2 linked regions of the Nothobranchius furzeri genome follow. The protein of the gene in region 2 purifies or fractionates together with the protein of the main gene of each other region. This does not show direct contact. Links are inferred from orthologs where the notes say so. Each region holds a gene or a part of one and is shown on either strand. Other genes may lie near its edges.

What was found. The genes of interacting proteins can lie anywhere in the genome.
Region 1: the proteins of rnd3a (region 2) and plekhg5b purify together in Homo sapiens (affinity purification with western blotting; 3 studies listed by BioGRID and IntAct, with this or other methods). This does not show direct contact. The link is inferred for Nothobranchius furzeri from reciprocal best matches to the Homo sapiens genes RND3 and PLEKHG5.

Annotation. Positions count from the first base shown.
Region 1 is NC_091755.1:39,711,152-39,714,805, forward strand, and holds part of plekhg5b (pleckstrin homology domain-containing family G member 5), read left to right. Parts: intron 1-1,795; coding exon 1,796-1,933; intron 1,934-2,017; coding exon 2,018-2,137; intron 2,138-2,225; coding exon 2,226-2,358; intron 2,359-2,551; coding exon 2,552-2,667; intron 2,668-2,755; coding exon 2,756-2,913; intron 2,914-3,008; coding exon 3,009-3,654. UniProt on the Homo sapiens protein: Functions as a guanine exchange factor (GEF) for RAB26 and thus regulates autophagy of synaptic vesicles in axon terminal of motoneurons. Involved in the control of neuronal cell differentiation.
Region 2 is NC_091754.1:56,844,703-56,848,940, reverse strand, and holds the start of rnd3a (rho family GTPase 3a), read left to right. Parts: upstream 1-1,417; 5' UTR 1,418-1,529; coding exon 1,530-1,667; intron 1,668-1,804; coding exon 1,805-1,892; intron 1,893-4,238. UniProt on the Homo sapiens protein: Binds GTP but lacks intrinsic GTPase activity and is resistant to Rho-specific GTPase-activating proteins.

The DNA of each region.
Region 1 (3,654 bases), on a different chromosome or scaffold from region 2:
AGACAGCCCACATGTCCCAGAGACAACCCACATGTCCCAGAGACAGCCCACATGTCCCAGAGATAGCCCACATGTCCCAGAGATAGCCCACATGTCCCAGAGACAGCCCACATGTCCCAGAGATAACCCACATGTCCCAGAGATAACCCACATGTCCCAGAGACAGCCCACATGTCCCAGAGATAACCCACATGTCCCAGAGACAACCCACATGTCCCAGAGATAGCCCACATGTCCCAGAGACAACCCACATGTCCCAGAGATAACCCACATGTCCCAGAGATAGCCCACATGTCCCAGAGATAACCCACATGTCCCAGAGATAACCCACATGTCCCAGAGATAACCCACATGTCCCAGAGATAACCCACATGTCCCAGAGACAGCCCACATGTCCCAGAGACAGCCCACATGTCCCAGATACAACCCACATGTCCCAGAGACAACCCACATGTCCCAGAGATAACCCACATGTCCCAGAGATAGCCCACATGTCCCAGAGATAGCCCACATGTCCCAGAGATAGCCCACATGTCCCAGAGATAGCCCACATGTCCCAGAGATAGCCCACATGTCCCAGAGATAGCCCACATGTCCCAGAGATAACCCACATGTCCCAGAGATAACCCACATGTCCCAGAGATAGCCCACATGTCCCAGAGATAGCCCACATGTCCCAGAGATAGCCCACATGTCCCAGAGATAGCCCACATGTCCCAGAGATAGCCCACATGTCCCAGAGATAGCCCACATGTCCCAGAGATGGCCCACATGTCCCAGAGATAGCCCACATGTCCCAGAGATAGCCCACATGTCCCAGAGATAACCCACATGTCCCAGAGATAGCCCACATGTCCCAGAGACAACCCACATGTCCCAGAGATAGCCCACATGTCCCAGAGATAACCCACATGTCCCAGAGATAGCCCACATGTCCCAGAGATAGCCCACATGTCCCAGAGATAACCCACATGTCCCAGAGATAGCCCACATGTCCCAGAGATAGCCCACATGTCCCAGAGATAGCCCACATGTCCCAGAGATAGCCCACATGTCCCAGAGATAGCCCACATGTCCCAGAGATAGCCCACATGTCCCAGAGATGGCCCACATGTCCCAGAGATAGCCCACATGTCCCAGAGATAGCCCACATGTCCCAGAGATAACCCACATGTCCCAGAGATAGCCCACATGTCCCAGAGACAACCCACATGTCCCAGAGACAGCCCACATGTCCCAGAGATAGCCCACATGTCCCAGAGATAACCCACATGTCCCAGAGATAGCCCACATGTCCCAGAGATAACCCACATGTCCCAGAGACAACCCACATGTCCCAGAGACAACCCACATGTCCCAGAGACAGCCCACATGTCCCAGAGACAGCCCACATGTCCCAGAGATAGCCCACATGTCCCAGAGATAACCCACATGTCCCAGAGATAGCCCACATGTCCCAGAGATAGCCCACATGTCCCAGAGATAACCCACATGTCCCAGAGGAACCTTAAACCGGGCACACCTGGTCACCTCACAACTTACTGCAGCTGTTTGTCTGAGGATCCACAGCTGTGTGGTAACTTTAGGGACCCTAATGAGCCGCTGTCAGCAGCACTCCGTTCACTCTTGTTTACTCTTGTTTACGTGTGTTGATGTCTTGTTTACGTGTGTTATGGCCGACATCTGCTACGGTTTCACTCTACAAAGGTTCCCTGGTTAGATTTGATCATGACAGCAGAACTTGTCTTTGTGGACGTGGATCAGCTCTGACCTTGTGATTCATCCTTGCGTTAAGGTGGCCACGGTGGAAGACTTCATCAACAGCGTGGATTCTCAGATGCGTCAGCGTCAGGAGCGGCAGAAGCTGGCCACCATCTCCGCTCGCATCGACTCCTACGAGGCTGTAGAGGGCAGCAGCGAGGAGGTAGAGAAGGTGAGACGTGGGTTTTTAAACACGGCATTTCTCTAGAGAGCTATTTTTAAGCTTTTGTCTCTCTTGGGGTCCTTCCCTATTCAGATCCTCAAAGAGTACAACCACTTTGATCTGATGGCTCCCATGAGAGGCACATCTCCGGAGGAGACCCGACAGCTGCATCTGGAGGGAGCGCTAAGGATGAAGGAGGGCAAAGACAGCAGGGTAAGCACGGGGCCTCACGGCTGCTCACAAACACGGTACTCCACTCTGCTGTTTGAAGGCACACCTGGCCTCTGACTCTGCCCCGCAGATGGAGGTCTACTGCTTCCTGTTCACTGACCTGCTGCTGATCACCAAACCAGTGAAGCGGGTGGAGAAGGTTAAAATCGTCCGCCAGCCTCTGCTCATTCACAACGTTGTCTGTAAGGAGCTCAAAGATCCCGGTGAGACGTCTCGGTGATTGGAATTCAAATTTTCTGTTTTGTCTTCAAATGCGACTCAAAGGAGATCTTTGTAGTTATGAAGAGCGGCCGTCTGCAACGCGAGCACTTAGAAAACTCCTCCGTTTGGCTGATGACGCACCGTTAGACGTCTCCTTCTGCTGATGACGGTTTGCACGTTTATGTGTCTCTCAAGGCTCGTTTGTGCTCGTCTACCTCAATGAGTTCAAGAGTGCAGTTGCAGCCTACACGTTTCAAGCCAACAGCGCCACCCAGGGTAGAAGCTGGATAGATGCAGTTTGCAATGTCCAGGTTCGTGGCACGCTTTGAATTTACAACCTTTTAAGTAATTCTGTAGTTTGTTGGTTTTGTGTTGTAATAGATTACTGTCCCCCATCAGAATCAGCTGCAGAAGCTTCACACTCAGGAGATGCTTCGACAGCAGGACATTCTTAAACGATGTCCGGAGGAGGAGGAGGAGGAGGAGGAGGAAGACGAGAGCAGCAACTCTACCGCAAGTTCTCCTGTCCTACGGCGCAAGAATGAGCAGAACTCCAGGTCCTCCTCTCAACTTTCACAATTCACGGGAAAAAAATAACATTTGCACCAGCGAAGGAAAGCAGTTGGTAATCAAACAGATCTTTTCTTTTCAGCCAATCAGACGGCTCCACTGAGACCCTGTCTGTGATGGATGTTGATGAGCCGGTCGAGCAGCAGCAGCCTTCAGCCTCCAAGGCAAACCTGGAAGAAATCACCGAGTGTGCCGCCGCTCTCCACTCTGAGAGCTCTGAGGTCCAACAGTCCACCCGCCGGGGCGACCCGCTCCCCCCTGAGCACGGTCCGGAGGTGTTGGACCCTCAGCGTCGGTCTCTCTCCATGGACAGCGCCTACGGTACCCTCTCCCCCGAGTCCCTCCTGCGAGAGCTGCAGCTTCAGCCCGTCCACAGTGAAGGAGAGGAGACGGAGGAGGAGGGATTCCAGGAGGTGGAGCTGAGTGAGACAGGAACAGAGGAGGTGGGAGAGCTGGAGGAGGAACAGGAGTCACGGAGGTCCCAGCTGTCTAAACCTCACCAGCGACCTCCTGTCCAACCAATACTCCACTGTCTGCAGAAGCTGTCCTCCTTTGCTTTATCCCGCTCCGAGGACAACTTGCTTCAGTGTTTCCATGGTGACAGCCCCATCTCTCACACGCACTCTCTCAGCTCCAACTCTGAGGAGTCCCAGAGCGGGGACACGTCCTCTCTGCCTCACAGCAAGAGCCTATCGGAGCTGCGGCGAAATGGCCTGAACCGCTCCGAG
Region 2 (4,238 bases):
AAAAGTACTCATAATATTGATTAACCAATAGATGATGGCAAAAGAGGGACGATGTAGAAAAAAGTTAGAAATGACTGATATTACTGCCTTTTCAGTGCAGTACACCTCAAACAGCTAGAGGTACTATGCTTGTTTCCTCCACCAGAAAATTTTGATAGAGGTGGCCAGATGGGGCCAAATTAATTTTTGGGGTGGCACACCAAATTGGTCCTTGTGGTAACTCTGGGAGAGTTTAGCTTGTGGCATTGTATTGCATTGCTTTTTTATTCATTTTTATGAAAAAAAAAAACTGCATGTATCCAAAACATTTAACTTAAATTTTACAAACACAAACATTTCAGAAAAATACATAGTTACTTGAAATGTTATTTAGAGTTTTATTTTAAAATGTTTTTTTGTTTAATTCACCTGTTGCTGTCCACAAAAAAACTATGGAGATAAACAGGGTATCTGCAGGTTTAAGGGAGCAAAATGTAAGGCTTTTTAAGACCTTTTTAAGGCCACTTAGACCAAATTTAAGCAATTTTTTTTAAATTAAATTTAAGCTATAATTTCCAGCTATTGCCTGGAACTGGTGCTAACCACGTCGCGAACGTAAGATTAGCCATTAGCCATCCAGTTACCATTAAATTCCCACTAGCTTAACCAGCTAATGTGCTAATCTAAAAATAGCCCCCTTTCACAACCAATGGAATGTGTATGGCTCTGCTTATGCCAATATCATACACAAAAAAATGCTGAACACTTACTAGAAATTCAGAAAATTTTTTATAGAAATAAAAGAATCTTGTTTATTGGGTCTTTGGTAATTTAAGGGCTTTGAAGGCTGTATTTAAGGATCAATAGTCATTTTTAAGGATTTTTAAGACCTTAAATTTGGAAAAGCTAATTTAAGACTTTTTAAGACTTTTTAAGGACCCGCGGATACCCTGATAAAAACTTTTAAAAAATGGTAAACAGCAGAAACATATGTAATTTTTTATTCAGATTATTTCTTTACTCATTAATTGTATGAATTTTATTTTTACAATTATGTCTTGAATAAACAAGATCAATTTATGGTTTGACTGAACATTAATATGATTTATTAACACTGGCTTTTCCTGGAAGGGCCAGCAATTTCCTGGGGGGGGGGGGGGGGTTGTGGCCACCCCTGGCCACTCCTTGGGGGCGCCTTTGCCCCTGTCATGTAGCCATTTCTGTTATTGTTTTTTTTTCTCTCTCTCTTTTACAGCCATTTGAGTTAACAGATCAGGCACTGTGTTACGTTTTGATTTATTTCCTTATTAGAAAGTTGTGATCCGAAGGGGGGCGCCGTCGGTGGAAAACCCCAGCGGGCTGCGGTGTGTGGAGGCGGGCAGGGAGGGAGGGAGGGAGGGAGGGAGGCCCTGCTGCCATTGGCTCCCGTGACGCTATAAATGCAGGCAAATGGCATTTACCGGCACAGAGCAGGCGGAGACAGCGGAGGGACCGGTTAAAGGACAGGGACGAGCGATTAATACACATCCAGGATTTGTCACATCCCCTCAATGAAGGAGCGACGGTCGTGTCAGAAGCCCAGCATGGATCCGAGTCCCAGTGTGAAGTGTAAGATCGTGGTGGTGGGGGACAGCCAGTGCGGGAAGACCGCGCTGCTTCACGTGTTTGCAAAGGACTGTTTCCCAGAGGTGAGACACCGATCCCGGATCAGAACCTCTTCATCTTCTGCTTTAGTCATGCTAAACCACGTGTTATTTAACCATGCATGCACGCGCTGGTTCTATCAGTTCTTACCTAGTGCTGTGATTTCTCTGCACCCCCTCAGAGCTATGTCCCCACTGTGTTTGAAAACTACACGGCCAGTTTTGAAATCGACACCCAGAGGATTGAGCTCAGCCTGTGGGACACCTCAGGTAATAAAACACCCACGATCACCTTGTTTCCTGTCTGTGGACATGTCCTGACATGTCCCCCCATGAATGTTTGACTACGAAACACAAACACACACATTCAGGTTTAAATGCTGCAGTGTGTGAGGATTTTTGAAAAATATTTGGCCCATTTCAGTCGATTATAACTGGGTTAGTCCCATCACACAGCTGTTTCCTCAGATTACAGCATAAAACGAATAATGTCAAAGGTTTATCTCTAAATAAAGCAGAAACGTGATATTTATGATGGACCAACATCTGGTGAACACACTTCCCAGAACTGTCCAGTTTTGTTTCTTTTTAAAATTTTCCAGGAAAGTTGTGCAATGTCTTTCTTTTAACCTGGAAATATTTTGTTTTGTTGGATCATGTGATCAAATCAGTCAATGCAACCTTTTAAACATGTAAACAAACTCACTTTACATCAAGCAGTGTGTGTGTGTGTGTGTGTGTGTGTGTGTGTGTGTGTGTGTGTGTGTGTGTGTGTGTGTGTGTGTGTGTGTGTGTGTGTGTGATGGGCGGGGACAAGTCGGCAGCCAGCTGTTGCGGGTCCCTGGCCTGGAATTCCAAAGCGATGTCTGAATAACTTTCTCGAACATTAAAACCAGCTTGAAACATTTTTCTCAAGGAAAAAAATGCGAAACCAAAGAACTCAAGTTACAGATTCTCCCTGAGCGGCGTCTCCAAGTGGAATATTTTTGCTTTTTTTTTTTTTGTGCTTGAGGGGTGATGAAAAACAAAGGAGTAGAGGAGGGTTGGTGGTGTGGGTGGAGAGGATCGGTCTAGATCCAGACTTTTGCTTTATTGCACCGTGTTGGCCGGCTGCCTCCAACCAGAAGTAGGAGGTTGTGTGTGTGTGTGTGTGTGTGTGTGTGTGTGTGTGTGTGTGTTTTCTATTAGATCAGTAGGTTTCAGATGGGGCCTGATACCCCTTCCCTACCCCCACACCTTCATCCTAACCCCCACCCAACGCAGACATCTAGTGACCGATTGATACAGCTTTCAGCTTGGCTGGTCCCTTTGTACGGACACCCATTGCTCCCCCCAGCTAGTCCAATCGATCCCTTATCTGTTGAGGTGAGATATGGAGGAGGGTGTTTTTGTGCACGGCTCGAGCACGTTCTGGGACAAAGACCACCGTGCAGGCACTGAACCGCTCAGAGGCGTGGAGGCGGTCTTTGTTTGGCGCTGATGAGCGGCTTAATGAGCAGCCCGGTGTGTGTTCAGTGTGTTTAAAAAAGCGAGGGTGGTGGGTGTAATTTGGGTCATTAAGGTAAATGCCTGCCAGTTGTGCTGCCTTCCTCTTTGACCCGCCCGCTCTGTCTGAGCCTGTGTTGAGCTCCAGTCTCAGGGTGAGGCCTTTGAAGCTTCTCTCAGTGGCAGAGGATTTGTATTTTGTTGTGTTTTTTCCTTCTGAATGAACCGTGAAGGTGTTTGTTTGGGACTTGAACAGGATGAGAACATAGCATTGGTGAACCGAGCGACCCCAGAGGCCCGGTACCTCATCTGCCTGAGGCTTGTTCTGAATTCAGGAGAGAGAATGAGGAAAGAAAATATCTCAGAACAATCGAGTAAGAACACTAGTACGAATGCTGCAATTATCCTTCATTACTGACAGTTTTACAAATGTCACAAAATGGCAACCTGGTCACTTGAAAGGATCAAACCATCACCCAAAATTAATGTTGAGTTTTAATCTGTAATTAGTGCAGTTGTGTGATATTTGATGATTCACTTTTTATTCACGGATAAGATTTATAAACTAGAGCTCTGTTAGGGTAGCCTGGCGAGCCATCCTATATGTGTAAATACACAGGCCCTGTCCACACGTAGCCGGGGATCTGCCAAAACGTAGATATTTTTCTACGTTTTGGCCTGTCATCCACACGAAAACGGAGTTTTTTCACACGAAAACGGATCCTTTTAAAAACTCCGGCCAAAGTGAAGATCTGCATTTTCTCCGTTTTGGGTGTCTGCGTGTGGACAGACAAAACCGTAGTTTTAAAGTCCGCAACGTCACTTTCCGCGACAAAAAAAAAAATGCTGACATCACGTGTGCGACCTGTGTTTACACTAGCCGACAGCACGGATGCCCTCAGAGCTGCGCTCGCTTTATCAATTGTCCAAGCGCTTTCTGCTTGTTTGTTTTTGCAAGCGGAATTACTGCTCCTTGCGGAAGACCACAGACGAAGAATGAGGTTAAGAACGGGGGAAGTACTGCCGCCTACAGGTCTGGCATGTCCATAACAACGTATTTATCCGGGTACTTGTGGACGGAGTTTTTTTTTTAAACGAGGTGGTGTGGATGCAAGTTTTTGGAGGGGCGGA